Linked DNA regions of Oryzias latipes. The protein of the gene in region 2 purifies or fractionates together with the protein of the main gene of each other region. This does not show direct contact. Links are inferred from orthologs where the notes say so. Each region holds a gene or a part of one and is shown on either strand. Other genes may lie near its edges. The genes, in order: ebna1bp2, SRSF protein kinase 3 and ccdc86.

The links.
Region 1: the proteins of SRSF protein kinase 3 (region 2) and ebna1bp2 purify together in Homo sapiens (affinity purification with mass spectrometry; 3 studies listed by BioGRID and IntAct, with this or other methods). This does not show direct contact. The link is inferred for Oryzias latipes from reciprocal best matches to the Homo sapiens genes SRPK3 and EBNA1BP2.
Region 3: the proteins of SRSF protein kinase 3 (region 2) and ccdc86 purify together in Homo sapiens (affinity purification with mass spectrometry; 3 studies listed by BioGRID and IntAct, with this or other methods). This does not show direct contact. The link is inferred for Oryzias latipes from reciprocal best matches to the Homo sapiens genes SRPK3 and CCDC86.

The regions. Positions count from the first base shown.
Region 1 is NC_019862.2:16,838,235-16,841,986, forward strand, and holds the start of ebna1bp2 (probable rRNA-processing protein EBP2), read right to left. Parts: upstream 2,633-3,752; 5' UTR 2,524-2,632; coding exon 2,428-2,523; intron 2,236-2,427; coding exon 2,152-2,235; intron 2,034-2,151; coding exon 1,870-2,033; intron 1,317-1,869; coding exon 1,193-1,316; intron 653-1,192; coding exon 563-652; intron 458-562; coding exon 382-457; intron 287-381; coding exon 196-286; intron 110-195; coding exon 1-109. UniProt on the Homo sapiens protein: Required for the processing of the 27S pre-rRNA.
Region 2 is NC_019865.2:30,373,060-30,376,711, forward strand, and holds part of SRSF protein kinase 3, read left to right. Parts: intron 1-427; coding exon 428-453; intron 454-3,307; coding exon 3,308-3,400; intron 3,401-3,485; coding exon 3,486-3,537; intron 3,538-3,652. UniProt on the Homo sapiens protein: Serine/arginine-rich protein-specific kinase which specifically phosphorylates its substrates at serine residues located in regions rich in arginine/serine dipeptides, known as RS domains.
Region 3 is NC_019859.2:15,309,620-15,313,371, reverse strand, and holds the start of ccdc86 (coiled-coil domain-containing protein 86), read right to left. Parts: upstream 2,330-3,752; 5' UTR 1,879-2,329; coding exon 1,373-1,878; intron 577-1,372; coding exon 447-576; intron 359-446; coding exon 284-358; intron 201-283; coding exon 90-200; 3' UTR 1-89. Other genes in the region: glb1 (beta-galactosidase), read left to right, coding at 3,403-3,465.

The DNA.
Region 1 (3,752 bases), on a different chromosome or scaffold from region 2:
TTTGAAACCAGAAACATCGTTGTAGCTCTCCTTGGTGTTCCACTTCTTCCCGCTCTTTTTGCCTCCAAAACCAAACTTTTGGTCCTTGTATTTCCGCTTAGCACTGGGGCTGAAGAATCCAAGGGAAAACCAGAGGAATTTAGAGAAAATATGACAGAAGCAAAAGAGGAAAAAAGCAGAGGGGAGAAGCTTTACCCTTTTTTGTTCACTGCTTTACTGGGACCTCCTGAAGAATTATTACCCATCTTCTGGTCTCCTTCCAAAAAGTCCAGTTTATCTGACATTCCTGGAATAAGAAAATGTAAAAGAATGCATCAGATTTGGCATTTAACAATTACAAAGTACATATCATGGCCACAGAAACAAAACCCAAGTCCTCACCTTTCTGGTATTTCTTTACAGCAGACATCATAGCCTTCTTCTCCTTCTGTCTCTTCTGGATCACCTCTATTTGGACCTGGCAAACAATCAGACAGAGGTTCCCTCACCATTTGGAGCACAAACACGTCTTCGTATCTACAGAGTGAGAGGCGGTTAAGAACAAGTCTCAGCAAAAACAAACCTTTTTGCCAAATTTCCGTTGCTCCCGCAGTTTCTTGGCCTTTTCAGACTTTTCCAAAATCATCTGCTTTGCGGTCAGCTTCTGCCTGATCTGGAAAACAAAAACAAAACAAAACAGGTTTGTTCCTGTTTTCCAACTCCTGTAAAGTAAAAGACTGCATTTTGTTCACAAACCTATTACAGGGTCTCCACAGATTTACAGAAGTGAATTTGAAAACCTTCTAAAGAACAATTAAAACCTACAAATCCGTACAAAGAAAATGAAACAAACAGCTGGAGTCTGGCTATTTCTTTCTCTACACATGCGTTTTGATCCGCTTGACCCTTTCTGTGCCACATCTATGTCTTTCAGCAAACTGTGCAGTTTGCTATAGTAATTACTAACAATCAACACAAGTAATCCATATTTTTCAAGCCATTTCTTCATGAATTTGCATCTTCCTAAAGCTTTTTAGTCTTTATGGGTCCACAGCCATCCATATTACAAAGGTCCAGCTTAACTTTTCTATCAGACATCTGCTACAAATAAACAGAAAGCCACATTCCTGCCAAGTACTATCCATGATTAATGTTTGGAGCTTAGAACATGTTAGAAAGCACACCCCCTTTAGCATGAATGAAAGCAAGTCACCTTCTGCATGTGCTGATCGGACTTGGCCATTTCTGCAAAGTAATCATCAGGCCTTCTGGTGTTTATGTCATGCTTCCTCAGGAGAGGGAGGGCCTCCAGGACTGTGGCTTGAGCTTGACGGTAACTGTAAAAGAAAACAAAACAAATGACATCATCAGTTTAAACAGCCATCACTTCAGTTTAACACAAACACACAAACCTGGTCATTTGTTTTTCCTCATTAGATCAAAACTTCAATAACTCTTTTTTTTCCCGTTTCTGAAAACTGTAAATGGTTGCTTTAAAAAAAGTTCCTTTAAAGAAAAAAAAGCTGTAGCCTAGAACACCATATGACCATTACAAAATCCTGTTACAAAATATTCCCACCGGTGATTTAAAAAAAAATTCAAATCTGAATCCTGAGCTCAATATTTTGAAATGTCATTTTATTAGAAAAAAATAAAAACACGCATGATGTGTTTTTACCAGCACCAATGTCAGGTTTATTGGGTGTGTGGAGTATCTTTAGTCAAAGCTCTAAATTAGGATCAACAATGACATGCAGTCGTACAAATGTGTAAGAACAAATTGCAGATTGCAATTATGACAGGGTAAAGAAATGTTTTGCAAATGTGATAACCGAACCCAGATTATGATAATACTTTGAACCCGAGGTCTAGAACACAGTGGTCACTTACAAGAACATCTCCCTCTGGAAATCATCCTCTGCATCCGGTCCTCCATTTATCTCAGCAGGAACTTTCCCTTCCACTTGGGATAAGACTGGAAGAGTGCTGAGGTCTAACCTTTCCACCCAGGAGAGGTCTTTCCGGAAGTCAGCAAGACACTCTTTTAACCCCTCCTGCAGCCATTAAACATGTTCACATAAATGCACTATAAATAATACACTTTTTTTCTCTTAATTTAAGAGTAGTAGCTTCATCACAGGTGTAACTAAAACTGTAAGAAAACCAACTTACCACATTGTTTACCAATTTCTTAGATTTATCCACCAGAACGTTCATTCCAGGTTTCAGCAACCCTTTGGTGAAGGCTTCCTGAAGCTACAGTTAAATAAATTAATACATTACCTTTCGTAAATTAGAATAATCACTTAGACCAAATCTTTCAGAGACAATAACTTTAACCAATTTTTTAAAAAAGGGGAAAACAAATCCCCAAAGCGTACATCATATAATGATAACTTTTAGCTGAACAACTATCAGAGCTTGAGTCCGGTTAGCATAAAAACTCACCTCTCCATCCGATAACTCGCTGCCTTCTTCCTCTGAATCCAGGCCGAGAAGCGACTCCTCTTCTGCAGACTCCATCGTGTTTACGGCTATAACCATAAAGAGGGCAAATCTTTCCAAACAACCAAGAAAAGTTAATTGTTTTGGACGCTTCGATTTTCCTCACGTGTACTAGCGTTCACGCGGGGAGAAATGACGTCATCGGAAGTTCTACAAGCAGAGTGCGCCGGTGGAAAACTGCGATCAAAACAAAAGGTTCCTACAAAAAGAAAATACATTCCACTGTTACACTCAAGAATAATAATGCAATGGTAATTTATTTATTATCAAGGTTGTTCATTTATTTATTTTTTCCCAAATTAAAATATTACCCGCAGTTTCAACCGGCAGAAAAAGAAAACAAGGTGAAACCTAAGTGTCTTTCAAATTCAGCTGGAGAGAGCCACCAAACATGTTAGTGTAAAACAAAAATGTAAAAAAATTATTATTATTATTATTATTATTATTATTATTATTATTATTATTAATAATAATAATAATAATAATAATAATAATAATAATAATAATATCATTATCAGCATCATCATTATTGCTGCACGGTGGAACATTGGTTAGCGCCCGTGCCTCACAGCAAGAAGGCCCCCGGTTTAAGTCCCGGCTGGGGGACCTGAACCAGAACACCAATGGGGGACCTGTTTGTGTGGAGTTTGCATGTTCTCCCCGGTTTTCTCTGGGGTCTCTGGCTAGGTTAATTGGCAACTCTAAATTGTCCCTAGGTGTGAGTGTGAGAGTGAATGTGTTATTGTGGCCCTCCAAAAGACTGGTGACCTGTCCATGGTGTCCCCTGCCTTCGCGCACAATTGGCGGTGATTGGCCTCTGGCATCCTGTGACCCCAAATTGGGACAAAACAGAAGAAGATGAATGATGAATGAATGAATAAATGAATGAATCATCATTATTATGGTTGGACTTCCCTATGTGGAGTATGCATGTTCTCCTCGTCCATTTGTGGGTTCCCCCAGGGACTTATGCTTCATAGGTTAATTGGTTACTCTGTCCCTTGGTGGGAATGGGAGTGTGTGTGGGATTGTGGCCCTGTGTCAGACTGGTGACCTGCCTTTCACATAAGTGGCTGGGATAGGCTCCAGCAGCCAAGCGACCCCAAAAGGGATTTAACGGTTTTAGATGATGAATGAAAGAATTATTATTATTATTGCTTTTGTTATTGTTGTTGCTGGTATTCTCAAAAAACAACACACACACCCGAAGACAAGAGAGCGTTTTCCTGACATTGACTCCATGAGCGTTCTCTATCTGCTGTACTGTG
Region 2 (3,652 bases):
GATTGGGAGGACGATTGCCTACCTTACCTATGAAGCCTTAAAGTTCTGGCACCTCTGCTCTGATCTGTACAGTAATTTTCTGATGTCTACCTGGATCTTTTTTCATGTTAGTGTGAAGATAATTCCTACAGGTTTCTTAATCAGTTCTCAGTCTGTGTGAAGAAGCACTTTAATCATCAAACATCACCTTAGTCCTACATCTTTGTGAAGCTAAGCAGACTTCAGGGAAGGTACTCTTGAGCTCTGAGAGTTCAACATGCTCCCAACCTGAAAGCTTCTTCCTATTTGATGGACAGACAGCTGCATGTCAGCTGAGACTCTGGGTTTTGATTGGCTGTCTCTTTCTGTTTGGTCAACTTCTAACTGCTCTTCTTTCCTGTCTCTTTCTGTTTCCTCCTTTTCTACTTGTTTGTCTCCATGTCTCTAGTTAGTATGGCTCCTAGGAATCTACAGGTAAGTGCCCAGGTGTGATGCCTGCTGTGTTCAGATTTGTTCAGTGCTCAGAGACAAATTGTTAGCTTAGCTGATTTAATGGATCAAACTCAAATCTCTATCATCAGTAGGTAGGCAGGGGGCGTGGTTATGCCAGTGCTTCTGGACTTGCTACTTGACCGTGAATCCTTCTGCTTTGTTAAGGAATACCCATCCACTCAACACAAGCTTGGCCCACACTTTAAAACCAACCAAATATAGCTCTCGGTTATAGGTGATGTTGGGGTGGGGGTGGGGGGGGTCAACGGTGCCAACGGTCCCACCCACATTTTAGAGGTGAATATCCAAATGAACTCCTGCCCCTCTGCAGAAACTATTTTCTGGAAAACACTACCGTTTTTTCTTTTATTTGGGCTAAAAACTGCATAATCAGGATGAAAAGGCCGCTGGGAAAACTTTTCCAATAGATCAGAAGATGATCAGAGTGAGTCTTTGAGTGACCTTGGAGTTTAAGGCTACATTGGCAAAAAGCGATATTAATCCATTTGAGTGGTATTTGTGATAAGATGCATAAAACCTTAAGAGAGCCCGTCCCCCGCTCCCACCCAAACAAATGTTGCACACAGGCACATAGGGCTCCGGGAACTGGATGGGTGGGACATGCTGCCTGGGCTCACCGGGGGTGTCTCTCTTTGGGGTCGCGTCGGCGCCCGCCCTCCATTCCACTTTTACTCACATATTAGACACCCTGATTCATCTAGTGCAGGGGTGTAAAACTCATTTTCACCGAGCATAGTGGCTGTCCTCAAGGGGCCAGATGAAACTTATACATGTAACTAAATGTAATGAAAAATAAATGAAACTACTCCTTAATGTTAAATAACTCATTTTATTTATTTATCATATCTTTTTAAAGTAACAATTACAGTTGCATAGAAAACATATGTTTGCTTGTTCCTCTAGCATAAATCCTTTTACATTAGATTCTGTCAGGTTAGGTTATGTGGACAGTGTTTAAGTCCTAATGTATAGTTGCCCAATATTTCAAGTCTGATTCCACCTAGATATGAATAAATACACGTCAAATTTTGTTTTAGGAAATGAAAAACTTCATGCTCTCGATGGCCACATAAAATGACATGGCGGGCCACATTTGGCCCGCGGGCCTTCAGTTTGACACATGTGATCAAGGGCTTTGTGGGGATGGTCTGGTGGAGGGGGGTACGGTGAAACATCCGTGCTCATCTTTCACTGGTCCGTCCCACTGTTTTAACTTCCACTTAAGACACACACACTACATGTTAGCAGCAAACACTGGAAATACACACCAATCACAGAGGGACCCCGGAGTGGGGGGGCTCTACTGCTTGGCAGCAGTGGGGCCCGCCACACTGGAGACCTCCTATTTTACCTGCAGCACACACACAGTACACCCACACCACCTTGCTTAGGTGGGGTCTGGGAGGGGCGGCCGGTCTTCACCCGCCTGGTCCTCTCAGGGCGGCCTGGCTTTTAGGGATCCTGTTGGCTGTAGTGGTGGTCGGGCGTGCGGCGCTGGTGCGTTGATCGGCCGGAAGGGGTTACTGTGTGGCGACGGGGGGTGGGGGGCAACTAGAAGATTGTGAGTGTGTCTGCGAGAGTGCATGGGTGGGACAGACTGGGGGGCTGGCTCACCAGGATCTTCTGGGGCTCTCCCTACCCATCGCAGAGTGGGGAGGGCATTGGGGGGGTATGGGAGGAGGGGTCGGAGAACATGGCGGGTGAGGAGAGTTGTAGAGGGTAGAGTAGTGGGAGGAGGGCGTAGAGCTGTGGTTGCGTGGTGATCTCTAAGTTGGTTGGGTCGGGTGCTGGGGTTGGCTTGCGGAGACGAGGCTCCGGCTGGGTGATGGGCGGCTCCTGGGCCCTCTGGGCCCTGGCTTCGTCCTTGGCCCGTGTCCAGCGCCCGGTGGCCCTAATGGCTGCCGCCTGGTACAGCTGAGCGCGCCTGTCCTGTGGCCTGGGGGGGGAACCCTCTGTGCCTGGCTGGGTGGGTGGTTCCCGCTCCTCCGGGGCTGCATGGGGCCTGTTGCCGTGGTCTGGCTGGGGAGGATCTGCTTTCCCTCATGATGAACACAGGGTTCACTTTGGAAGCGTGCATGTATCTCCACCCCCACGTGCACACTGCCACACTGCTCCCTGCCTGCTTCATCCCCCCTCCTAGCCCACAGTGTATTGATGGACAGATATGTTCTGCTTATCTTAGTGTCAGAATTTCACCTTTGATGTAATATTTGTCGTTTCAGCAGATCTGGTAGAATTGTTACATCTTAAAATAATAACCAATTCAAATCGGCGCTTGTATTCCCCACTCTCTCCCCCTCTCTCCCTTTTATTCTCTTCTCCCCTTTACTCTCTTCTCCCCTTCACACAATTTTCCCCTCCCCCCCACACACTAAATGTAACAAATCAATAAAAAACAAAAAAAAACAAAAAGGGGTTTATACAAATTCACACTCTGGTTTTCTGAAGATATATAACCCCTTTTGTAACAGTAAAACTTGTCCAACACAAAAGGCCTTCAGCGCTTATCTGTTTGCTCAGTTGTTGGACAGAACAAGTTTGAAAAAAACAATAAAAATAAAAAATAAAAGGGTGCCCGGCACTATTAGGGACCGGCATCTACAGTAATGAGCATGTGTTAGACTTGGCGTTTATTGGAGACCGGCGTCAATCATAGAACGGCCACTATTGAAAGATATACAGTATTAAAACGGAAAGGGCTGCTCAATCATCCATCCCAGTGTGTGAGTTTGAGGGTAACCCAGAGCATGCACACTTTGTTCTGTAGAACCTTAAGCCCCCTGACCTGTTTGTTTGTGTTTGTTTGTATGTGCAGGCTGGAAAAATGTCCAAAAATAAGAAAAAGAAACTGAAAAGAAAAGCAAAACGTCAGCAGAAACTATTGGAAGAAAGACTTGAGGACATACAGGTACTTGTGGCTTCAACTTTAGTTCTTCAAAATATTTCTAAGTACTTCAGAATACCAGAGTATAAAAGTGTTCTTTTGTGTTTAGAGAATGGAGGAAGAAGAGGGTCTGTTTCAGCCCGATGACATAGATTCTAAAGGTAAGTCTATGGCAAAAGCTCTTGTTTAAAATTGCAATTGTAAAAATAATACTTTATATCAGGGGTGCTCACTTTTTTAGCATCTGAGCTACTTTTGAGACGACAATGTTTTGAA
Region 3 (3,752 bases), on a different chromosome or scaffold from region 2:
CTCCAGTCGGATCAGTCAGTACATTTGTAGTAAAACTACAAGACAAAACAGTGGATTTCATGGCAATTTAATGTTTACATTAAATCGTGTTAAATATTTGTGTGTGTTTTGGTGTTTGAATTTGAAGCCAGAGTGTCTCTCTTCTCGATTTTGCGGAGCTGTTTCTTCTTCATCCTCTTGATCTTAGCCGTGTTCCGGATCTATGAAACATATTAGGGAGAAGGTTGGCATGTTTTATAAAGCAGATGCGTGAGAATCAGAACGGAGTCTGCTTCGGACGTACCACTTGCACAATCTCTGCTTTGCGTTCGTTCTCTGCGCGGCGTTTCAGGTTTTCTTCCCTTCTCTTCCTTTTTTCCTAAAGAAAACAGAACAGAGCAGAGTTTGTTGGAGGGGCCACAGCATGGACCCTGCAGTGCTTCAGCACACACACGCCTTCACGTTACCTCCTTCTGTCGTGCTTTCTCCTCTTTAAGCTTCAAAGAATACGCCTTCACCAGCTCCTTTTCCCGCTTGGCCTCCATCTTCTTCTCCCATGAGGAACACAGTGGTTTGTCTCGCAGCAAAGCAGAGAACCTGGACGAAAAGCGTCCCATCACATTTGTGGAGACAGACATTCAAATGGATCATTGAGAGGAACTCAGCAAAAGAAAAGTATAACATTTACAATTAAATGAACAAGGAAAGAAAATGTTTAGATGTTTGTAAGAAGTTAAATAAGAAAATGTTCTTTTTAAGAAAACCCTTAGTTACAAAAAAACGCTTCCTCAAACTAATCATTTGTGGCCTCAAATTTGTATTTTGCGCGCTTAAATGAGTGTTTAGTAATTCATGACCATGAATAAACATTTGATTAGCATTTTGTAGGCACAAATAAGTAATTCATGGCCAGATATTAACCCTTCTATTTGCAAGTGAGTATTTTGTGCCTTCAAATTTCCATTTTGTGGCCAAAATTAAGTACTTGATGGCAACAAAAAATTAACATTTTAACAATTTGACCACAGAAAAAAGATTTTTGTGCTAAAAAATTGGTAGCTTGTGTAGTCAGATTTGCATTTTGCGGCCACAATTAAGCGTTTCACGGCCAAAAAATTTTGTCAAAATTTTGTCAAAATTGCATGTGGTCAAATGAGCATTTTGTGGGCATAAGTTAGTGAGAATTGAAGATATTTAAATACTAATTTGTAAACAAATTAATACTAATTTACAACATACCAGTTAGTGGCCAAAAACGAAAAATTTGAGGAGTAAATTATTCTTATTGTTATCATGTCTAGAGCTCCTTCCGGAGCCCCACATTCTAGGAAGTGTTCCGTCAGATGGGTGAAGGTTCAGAAGAGAACAAGCAGACAGACTTTTTGCTCCTCACCGCTGTTTGTTTCGGTCCTTCCACACTCGTCCTGATTTGGGTTTTCCCAAAGGAATGACTGCGCTCTGCTTGACGTTTGGAGCAGCAGGAGGAGGTTTCTTCTTCTTTTTCTTTGGGATGGTTTCTGAACTCGCAGGAGGAACCGTTTCTACAGGCTCGTATTTTAGCACGTCATGGTGGTCTCCGCTAGCTTCATCGCCGGCTGCTTCCCCCACCGGCTCCTCGTTGTGGTTTTCTAACTCTGGTTTCGTTGACCCACTGCAGTCGTCTTCGAGGGGATCACCGGGTTTGTTCTCTGGTCCTACCGTGTTTTGTGCCTCCACTGCCGGCAGCTCTTGGAGGACAGAGCGCCTCGTCCTTCTGCTCGGAGTCTTCACCGAGGCGGCGGGAGTGCACAACCTGCGGCCACTCCTGGTCCGTCTCGGCTCCTCCTGGACCGGCTCCTCCTCGTGTCCTCCTTCGGGAGCGGGATTTTCTTCCACCGTGGGCTTCACTCTCTTGGGCATATTGTCAGTTTTGCGGTCAATAACATAAAAACTGTGAAAAACTTTACCCACGTGGGTCCAGACTGTACTTTCCTGCCATACGTCATTCTGTTTCCGGGTTTCAACGTGAGATGTGAAACAAAAGTACGCATTACTGCCACCTACAGGTGAGACAGCGAAGGTGCAGCCTGCAGTTGGCGTTTGTAGAGACTATGTATGAAGTATTCAATCCTGCACCAATACAAAACCTGTTAAAACAGTCTAATTTAAAACATCAAAAAGAAGGTTATTATTATAATTAGTGTTTTTGTTTTGAGTTAAAGTGCCTTTATTCTTTCTTTTAACCTGGAAAATCAATAATCTATTGTTGTTTGACTCAAACAAATTTGGACAAGGTATGGAATGTCTTGTGCACTGACCATATATGATGGTCATGTATGATGTTCTGTATTTACAGTATTTGTCAATAAAGTTCATAAATAAAAATACCGTTAGAGCACTGTAAAGCAGCACAAGGAACAAATGCAGACAAACAAACTGTTATAAAATAACTGTTATCAATAGACATTAAGGTTATAATAATGGCTTTGAAAAAAACCAAAGAGAGGCAGTGACGTAATCAAATTTAAGTTTTGACCGAGAACAAGTACGGACAGATCAAATGTTCTGTGATACCAGAACAAACACTAATAGACTTTATCATAACTCTCACATGTCTTTTGTCTATACACTTTCTTTTAAACTGGAGAAAATGTAAACATCTTTTCAAATCATTCTTTTGTGGGTTCCAAAGTTTAACACAATATTATAAATAAATAAATGCATAAACAACACATTTGTTTTAAAGTAGTGCGAGCAACTGTTACTTGAAATCAAACACTTTTTAATTTCAGTTTTTCATTTTCTTTTGTTAAATATTTTCAATTATTTCAAAAAAAGGTTCATGTCATCTGCAAAAAGACAAGATTCAGTTTTTTAATAAAAATAGCTAGCTATTACTTCAATTAAAAGCAAATATATAAAAAATAATTTAATGATTAATTCCAATGTAATCGATATAAATGTATTTGGTTTTATCTAAAGTAAAACCTGCATATCCAAGCCCATTGCTAAAAAAAAAAAAAGCAGGCAAGACAAGGGGAATAGACTGTATGAACGTCATTTAACATTTGGGTAATCTTGTGCAATAAGAAGATCCATAAATTGGAAGCTATTTTTTTACATGCTATTCATTTATTTGTTTGTTTATTTTTACCACATAACAATTCTTCAACATCTTTGAGAAGTATACACCTCGTGTGAAAGGTAAAAATAAAATGAAAATCTAAGACTCGTGTTTGGGGAAAAGAAATTGCAAAATAGTGCCACCGTGCGGTTGCATTAAATCACTGCATCAACATGTCACGTGATTTTACTTCCGCGTCTCGTGATGCCGCTCTGCTCAAAACACAGCACTCAGGAAATTCAGTTCCTCAGCGGTTCTGTCGTTGGGAGTTTTGATTAAACAAAAAAGGTTATAAACAGAACGGAGCAGCAGAATTCAAAATGAGACTGATCTTGTCTTTGTTGAGACTTAGCTTCCTGCTTACGGTGTTGTCTGTACAACGGGTAAGTTTAACTTTACATTGTAGTTCTCCAGGTCTATCATGTTGTTCTGTTTATTAAGGATGTGTGTATACTGTTAATATAATTAATACTATTAAACAAAGCTCTGGGGTCGGTTTTTATATGTAAAAAGATAGTATTGTGTTTGCTTTTCATTTAAATATTTGTATTAATTTCAAATATGTCATTTAAAAGGCTTAAAATGGTTTTAAAGAATATTCAGACAAAAAAAGCGTACACAATTTCAATTTAATGTTTTTTTCTTTAGTCATTTCCTTCATCAATAAACA